Linked DNA regions of Nothobranchius furzeri. The protein of the gene in region 1 interacts with the protein of each later gene in a pairwise test. Links are inferred from orthologs where the notes say so. Each region holds a gene or a part of one and is shown in the gene's direction. Other genes may lie near its edges. The genes, in order: aldh16a1 and dera.

Region 1 (3,817 bases):
GTAGTAGTAATAATAATAATAATAATATCATAATGATAATAGTAATAATAATAATATTAATAATAATATAATGATAACAGTAATAATATAATAGTAATAATAATAATAATATGATAATAGTAATAATAATAGTAATAATAATGATAATAGTAGTAGTAATAATAATAATAATAGTAATAATAATAGTAATATTAATAATAATATCATAATGATAATAGTAATAATATAATAATAATAGTAATAATAATATTGATAATTGTAATAATAATAATACATTTTCATTCTAAGCACCTTTCGGTGAAACTTCACAGCTGTGAAAACGGGCCAGAAGCACCAAGCTGAAACTACTCGAGAGCCACAAAATGACATTTTTAGATCAATAAAAAAACAAACTCGTATTTTATTGTGAAACTTTGAACTCGCTTGACTTAAATGATCTTCCTCAAAGGTTTCCAACACGCTGATGACAACTCGCACTATCGGTGCTGCCTAGTACTTTTTTCCCACTGTATTAGTACTCGTATGGGTGAGCACTCCAGTATAAGTACTTGGACTCGGTGCGTCCATGGTGTCGACCCAGCTCCTAGGAGATGCCTGTTATCTTTGGATTAGGATTGTCAGATAATCTGTAATCTCTTTTAATTAATTTAGAAAATGACACAGCACAAACGCCGCAGCTCAACCCCTCAACCACAGGAAAAACAAGCCGACGTCCTCCAGTCATTTGGAAATGTCGTGCTGCACGTGAGGGGCTGAAACAGTCCTGGTGTGCTTTAGGGAGGGGTCCCACGTTGGGTAGTCCCAACCATGCACATGATCTCTGTTTTATGATCTTATTAGTATTTCCCAGGAACGAGCCAATCACACGCTGGCGTTCCTTGTTTAGTCTTCGTCCCAGATCTTGTTGTTTCGGATCTCTCCAGGAAACTCCGTGATCGCTGTTCCCGGTCGGAGCGCCGCCCCTCCAGCTCTCCTTTTGGCTCAGCTTTTGGCAGCAGGAGGACTTCCTGCTGGAGCTCTTAATGTTTTAACAGGAAGTGATGTCACTCTTGGTGCTAAAGTGGCTCAGGACCCTAATGCCAGCTTCGTGACTTACAGCGGGAACCAACAGGTGTGTTTTACTCGGTCTGGAGTTCAACCTGAGCCGTGACTTCACACGAGAGCGTTTCTGTTGTCCTTCAGGATGGCGCGGCGCTGTGCAAGGCCACAGCAGGGATGGGACTTCCTGTGTCTGTCTCCTTGTGCATCGGGCCCGTCTGTCCCTTCATCATCTTTGAGTCAGCTGACATGGACAGCGCTGTGGATGAAGTGGTGCAGGCCGCCTTCAAGAAGAGGAAGGAGGTGACGACCCGCTGTAGAAGAAGAGCTGGAGCTGGAGCGGTTGCAGCAGGATCTCTAACATCTCTCTCTGTGCTCAGGTCCACTGGGTGCTGTGTGTGCAGGAAAGTGTGTCAGAAAGTGTCACCGCCCGTCTCAAGCTACGCATCGCTGGACTGAAGTGTGTCAGCCTGCGTAGTGATGCAGACCGAGTCCTCGTGGACGCTGCAGTAGAGGAGGCTCAGCAGCAGGGGGCCACGGTTGGTGCTCAGCCTCACACAAAGCTGGTTAGACCTCACAGGAGGTGTCACCTGTCATCGTTAGACTTTAATCTGCTCAGATCTGAGGGATTACTCTTCTTCTCCTAGTTTAAGTCAACAAAGCAGTAAGTGATACTCAACCGGCGCGTTTCCCGTCGATAAGCTCGCCAGCTTAAACGTAAAGCTGCCTGGACTGAGACGGAATAACAAGATCCACTCAGACGTCCGCTCGGGTCCACTAATAAATCTGCTTTTCTCCCCAGTTGGTTCAGTCCTGCCCACCCCCTCCTGGCTCCCAGTACCCCCCCACGCTGCTCTGTGGTGCGGCCCCCTCCTCTCCGTTCGTGGTCAGCCCCCCCCCTGGACCGCTGCTGCCCGTCGTGACTTTCAGGAGCAACGCCGAGGCTGTGGTCATGGGTAAGAAGGAGACTCCCCAGATGAACTCGTTTAGTTATCAGAGCTTCGGTCTGCTCTGGGAAGAACGTTTTGTTGTTGCAGCCGTGAAGCAGAATCGCAGCGTGTGTCCGTGAGTCCGCTACGTTAGCCCCCCTCCGTTTACACCTCCACTGACTTCTTCAGCCGCTGTCCTGAGCTGAGCCACCGGTCCAGACTGGGCTGTGTCTGCCATCTTAGCGGCTTATTCCAGAAGCGTGGGGATGCGTTGTAGGGCGGTGTTACGGGTTTGTGTTTGGTCATTCGTCAGGGCTTCAGGTCTGGTGATACCAAAGCTTCACACACAGGCTCAGAGAACCGTTTCCACTTAGAAAGCAAACCTTTAGTGAAGCCAGCGACGTCAGGTGAGACAGTCAGCAGCAGCTTTGATGGAAGGCCTTTACAGCGGTGATGGTCTCTGGTGTGTTCAGGAAACCACAGCCCTCACGGCCACGCGGCGTCCATCTGGACCGAAGATCTGACTCTGGCTCTGGAGACGGCACACAGGTGTCCTTCGTCGTTCTTCTGCTCAGGTGGCTCTCCTTTCTCGTCGTTTCACTCACACTTTTTGTGTCATTCCCAGTCTGTCGGTTGGCTCTGTGTGGGTGAACTCCAGCTCTGTGGTGGATCCCTGTCTTCCTGTCTCTGGTCACAAAGACAGCGGCACCTGCACTGATGGAGGACAGGAGGTAGCTTAACCTTTCTTCTGGTGCTCCAGTGTTGTTCCATACATTTAGATCTCCTCTGCGTTCATCCAGGGCCTTTACCAGTTTCTGCGTCCGTCTGGTTCTACTCCTCTTCCTCGCTCCGCTCCGGGTCTCATGGACTACACGCGGTTTGGGACAGAACCGTCGCAGGCTTTCATTCCTGAATCGTCTGAGCCTGGAAGGTGTGGTTTTAGTAGTTTATCGGTTTAAACAAACGGTGGAGTGTTTAAGGAAGAGTTTAGAGATTCTCTGTCTCCCCTCAGTTCTCCTCAGTCCTACCTGCAGTTTGTTGGTGGAAAAGCCTGTAAATCAGTGTCAGGCTGCACCATGGCTGTGCGGGCACCAGGGGGCAGCGCGGTGCTGGCCTTGTGTCCTGATGGAGGCAGGAAGGATGTTCGAGATGCTGTGGAGGCTGCTGTTAAGGTCCAGCCCGGGTAAGAGCTTCACCACAGGAAGACATGCTCACAAATACCTCCGCTGGCCCCGACACAGATCACAGTGGTACTAGTACTCACTATCACAGAGTACTCCGCCTACATATGCCTAGTACTCACTGTCACAGAGTACTCCGCTTACATACGCCTAGTACTCACTGTCACAGAGTACTCCGCCTACATACGTCTAGTACTCACTATCACAGAGTACTCCACTGTACATACGCCTAGTACTCACTATCACAGAGTACTCCGCCTACATACGCCTAGTACTCACTATCACAGAGTACTCCGCTTACATATGCCTAGTACTCACTATCACAGAGTACTCCGCCTACATACGTCTAGTACTCACTATCACAGAGTACTCCACTGTACATACGCCTAGTACTCACTATCACAGAGTACTCCGCCTACATACGCCTAGTACTCACTATCACAGAGTACTCCACTGTACATACGTCTAGTACTCACTATCACAGAGTACTCCGCCTACATACGTCTAGTACTCACTATCACAGAGTACTCCACTGTACATACGCCTAGTACTCACTATCACAGAGTACTCCGCTTACATATGCCTAGTACTCACTATCACAGAGTACTCCGCCTACATACGCCTAGTACTCACTATCACAGAGTACTCCACTGTACATACGTCTAGTAC
Region 2 (3,808 bases), on another chromosome or scaffold:
TGAATGGACCCTGTTCCGTGCCTCCATTGTTGAGGCGGTCGACTGGAGCTGTGGTCGCAGGATCGTCGGTGCCTGTCGTGGTGGCAACCCCCGAACCCGCTGGTGGACACCGGCGGTTAGGGATGCTGTCAAGCTGAATTAAGAGTCCTATCAGGACTTTTTGGCCTGTGGAACTCCAGAGGCAGCTGACGGGTACCGGCAGTCCAAGCAGGAACATGGCTTGTGTGGTCGCCGAGGCAAAAACTCGGGCATGGGAGGAGTTCGGTGAGACCATGGGGCAAGACTTCTGTACGGCTTTGAGGAGATTCTGGTCCACCTTCCGGCACCTCAGGGGGGGAGAAGCAGTGCACTACCAACACTATCTATAATGGGGATGGTGTGCTGCTGACCTCTACTCAGGACGTTGTGGATCGGTGGGCAGAATACTTCGAAGACCTCCTCAATCCCACCGACATGTCTTCCAGTGAGGAAGCAGGGTCTGGGGAATTTGGGTTGGCCTCTCAAATCTCTGGTGCTGAGGTCACTGAGGGGGTTAAAAAGCTCCTCTGTGGCAAGGCTCCGGGGGTGGATGAGATCTGCCCGGAGTTCCTTAAAGCTCTGGATGTTGTGGGGCTGTGTTGGCTGACACGGCTCTGCAATTTCGCGTGGACATCGGGGGCAGTCCCACTGGACTGGCAGACCGGGGTTGTGGTTCCCTTATTTAAAAAGGGGGACCGCAGGGTGTGTTCCAACTACAGGGGGATCACACTCCTGAGCCTTCCTGGTAAGGTCTATTCAGGGGTTCTGGAGAGGAGGGTCCGTCGCAATGTTGAACCTCAGATTCAGGAGGAGCAATGTGGTTTTGGTCCTGGCCGTGGAACACTGGACCAGCTCTATACCCTTAGGGGGATCCTGGAGGGTGCTTGGGAATTTGCCCAACCAGTCTACGTGTGTTTTGTGGATTTGGAGAAGGCGTTTGACCGTGTCCCTCGGGGGGCCCTGTGGGGGGTACTCCGGGAGTATGGGGTAACAGGCCCTCTGATACGGGCTGTTAGGTCCCTGTATGACCGGTGTCAGAGCTTGGTCTGCATTGCCGGCAGTAAGTCGGGCTCGTTCCCAGTGAGAGTTGGACTCCGCCAAGGCTGCCCTTTGTCACCGATTCTGTTCATAACCTTTATGGACAGGATTTCTAGGCGCAGCCAAGGTGTGGAGGGGATCGTTTTGGTGGCCTGAGGATCAGGTTTCTGCTTTTTGCAGATGATGTTGTCCTGTTGGCTTCATCAGAATGTGATCTTCAGCTTTCGCTGGAGCGGTTCGCAGCCGAGTGTGAAGCAGCTGGGATGAGAATCAGCTCCTCTAAATCTGAGACCATGGTCTTGATTCGGGAAAGGGTAGAATGCCTTCTCCGGGTCAGGGATGAGGTCCTGCCCCAAGTGGAGGAGTTTAAGTATCTCGGGGTCTTGTTCATGAGTGAGGGAAAACTGGAGCGTGAGATCGATAGGCGGATTGGTGCTGCCCTGATGTGGGCGTTGTACCGGTCTGTCATGGTCAAGAGAGAGCCTAGTCAGAAGGTGAATCTCTCGATTTACCGGTCGATCTACGTTCCTACCCTCACCTATGGTCATGAGCTTTGGGTAGTGACCGAAAGAACGAGATCGTGGATACAAGCGGCCAAAATGAGTTTTCTCCGCAGAGTGGCTGGGCTCTCCCTTAGAGATAGGGTGAGAAGCTCAGTCATCCAGGAGGGGCTCGGAGTAGACCCGCTGCTCCTCCACATCGAGAGGAGCCAGTTGAGGTGGCTCGGGCATCTGGTTAGGATGCCTCCTGGACGTCTCCCTGATGAGGTTTTCTGGGCACGTCCAACTGGGAGGAGACCTAAAGGTAGACCCAGGACACGGTGGAGAGACTATGTCTCTCACCTGGCCAGGGAACGCTTTGGGATTTCCCTGGAGGAGCTGGCCCAAGTGGCTGGGGAGAGGGAAGTCTGGGCCTCTCACCTTAGGCTACTGCCCCCGCGACCCGACACTGGATAAGTGCATGAAAATGGATGGATGGATAGACAGGTTTTAAACTTGTGAGAAGTCACTTGGGGTTTTCCAATAACTTGTCTCCGAGTTGTCTGAGCCCTCAGGATCAGGGGTTTATAGGGTTGTTTCTCTCTGGTCATACTTGAGTACAGACCAGTATCTCGTGTCCCGTTTCAAGGTAAAAGAGTCCACCTGCTTCCTGTCTCTACAGGTGGGCTTCAAGCCGGCTGGGGGGATCCGGACGGCCCACGAGGCTCTGGTGTGGCTGACTTTAATCAAAGAGGAATTGGGCCCTGATTGGCTCTGTCCTCACCTGTTTCGCCTTGGAGCCAGCAGCCTATTGGCTGATATAGAGAGGCAGGTGAGGATTCAGTCTTTCTTTCACACACACACACACACATGCACGCACGCACACACGTACACACACACACACACACACACACACACACACACACACACACACACACACACACACACACACACACACACACACACACACACACACACACACACACACTGCTGCATCTCATTCTCTGTTTGTACTCACACAGATCTACCATTATGTGACTGGACGGTATGCAGCCTTTCATGAGCTGCCTATGGCCTGAACCCACACACGTCCTGATCCAGTTCTAATCAGAACCTCAGACACACCTGGTTAACTAATCAGTAAGCATAATGTCTATAGTCACATTTTGTTAATTAGAGTCCTGGATGTGTTTGGTCCTCTACATCCCACCGGGGGCTTCTGACCAGGACTTTTTTTCATCCACGTGTCCTTGGTACAGCATAAACAGAAAAAGACCCAAATTTGGTTTATTGTGTTTAGAAGAACCAAGCTGGGATTTAAGATGATTTGAGATGAAGAAGATCAGCACACGACTGTCACAAATCAGGTGTTTCAGACTCAGCTTTGCACCTTTCTGCTGACCAGTACCAATGCTGGGACGTCCATATGGGTCTAAAGCTCATCTCTGTGTGGTTTAGAGTTCCCCTGCTGAGTCCAGATTCACACCGACTACCAGATGGCTCTGGCTGAAGAGTAACATCTTCTGATGATCACAAAGATCTGATGTCATGTTGACTTAATGATTTAATCATAATTACAGAAGATAAATAAAGATTGACCCAAGTTTTAATGCCTCTCTCTTCCTTGAGTCATCCACGTCAGCAACAGTCAGTAAAACATCTTTAGTTGTTTGCTTAAAATAATGTCTAATCGTTATCCTTTTCTCGTTTTTAACTAAGTTTGAAATAAAAACAGCTAAATGTTCTGTATTTCATCTGACTTCTAGTTCTTATGAATAGCATCTAAAGGGGTTGTCACTGGTTAAATGAGGTTGTAAGTGTCTGTAGTGTAAAAGATTGTTTCTGATATAGAGTCATAGAGAATGGATAATGTACAGAAGTGAGTTTTATCAACATGTTACTTTGGGTTCAGTCATTACTGAACAGAGGCACTTGGTTTATAATAGCTGTTGCATTATGGGTAAACACCTCCTCTTTGGGACAACGACCTCTGGACTGTTTGGGTGAGCTTTACCAGCCTGAGCTGTCACAGAAGGAGGATGATGTTTCCACTCAGTTTAAAAATAATAAAATGAAACATTTTATTTATTGTTGCATTTTAAGTCACCCATGATGTTGTGGATTCTTGTTTTTCTACATTTGAGGGAGGTTTAATCATAGTCCTTTAGAACCTTTAGACATGCTTCAGCTCTACCAGCAAAAAGGTAAAAACAAGCTTGCTTACTCTGCATTAGTGAAGAACCAAAACAAAGGAATGACCTGAGATACTAGAA

Evidence for each region.
Region 2: the proteins of aldh16a1 (region 1) and dera interact in binary tests that used the Homo sapiens proteins (3 or more experiments, as listed by UniProt). The link is inferred for Nothobranchius furzeri from reciprocal best matches to the Homo sapiens genes ALDH16A1 and DERA.

Annotation. Positions count from the first base shown.
Region 1 is NC_091752.1:71,354,938-71,358,754, reverse strand, and holds part of aldh16a1 (aldehyde dehydrogenase family 16 member A1), read left to right. Parts: intron 1-923; coding exon 924-1,111; intron 1,112-1,182; coding exon 1,183-1,341; intron 1,342-1,418; coding exon 1,419-1,577; intron 1,578-1,840; coding exon 1,841-1,994; intron 1,995-2,440; coding exon 2,441-2,516; intron 2,517-2,592; coding exon 2,593-2,698; intron 2,699-2,767; coding exon 2,768-2,898; intron 2,899-2,979; coding exon 2,980-3,150; intron 3,151-3,817.
Region 2 is NC_091741.1:64,226,167-64,229,974, reverse strand, and holds the end of dera (deoxyribose-phosphate aldolase), read left to right. Parts: intron 1-2,217; coding exon 2,218-2,367; intron 2,368-2,557; coding exon 2,558-2,614; 3' UTR 2,615-3,145; downstream 3,146-3,808. UniProt on the Homo sapiens protein: Catalyzes a reversible aldol reaction between acetaldehyde and D-glyceraldehyde 3-phosphate to generate 2-deoxy-D-ribose 5-phosphate. Participates in stress granule (SG) assembly.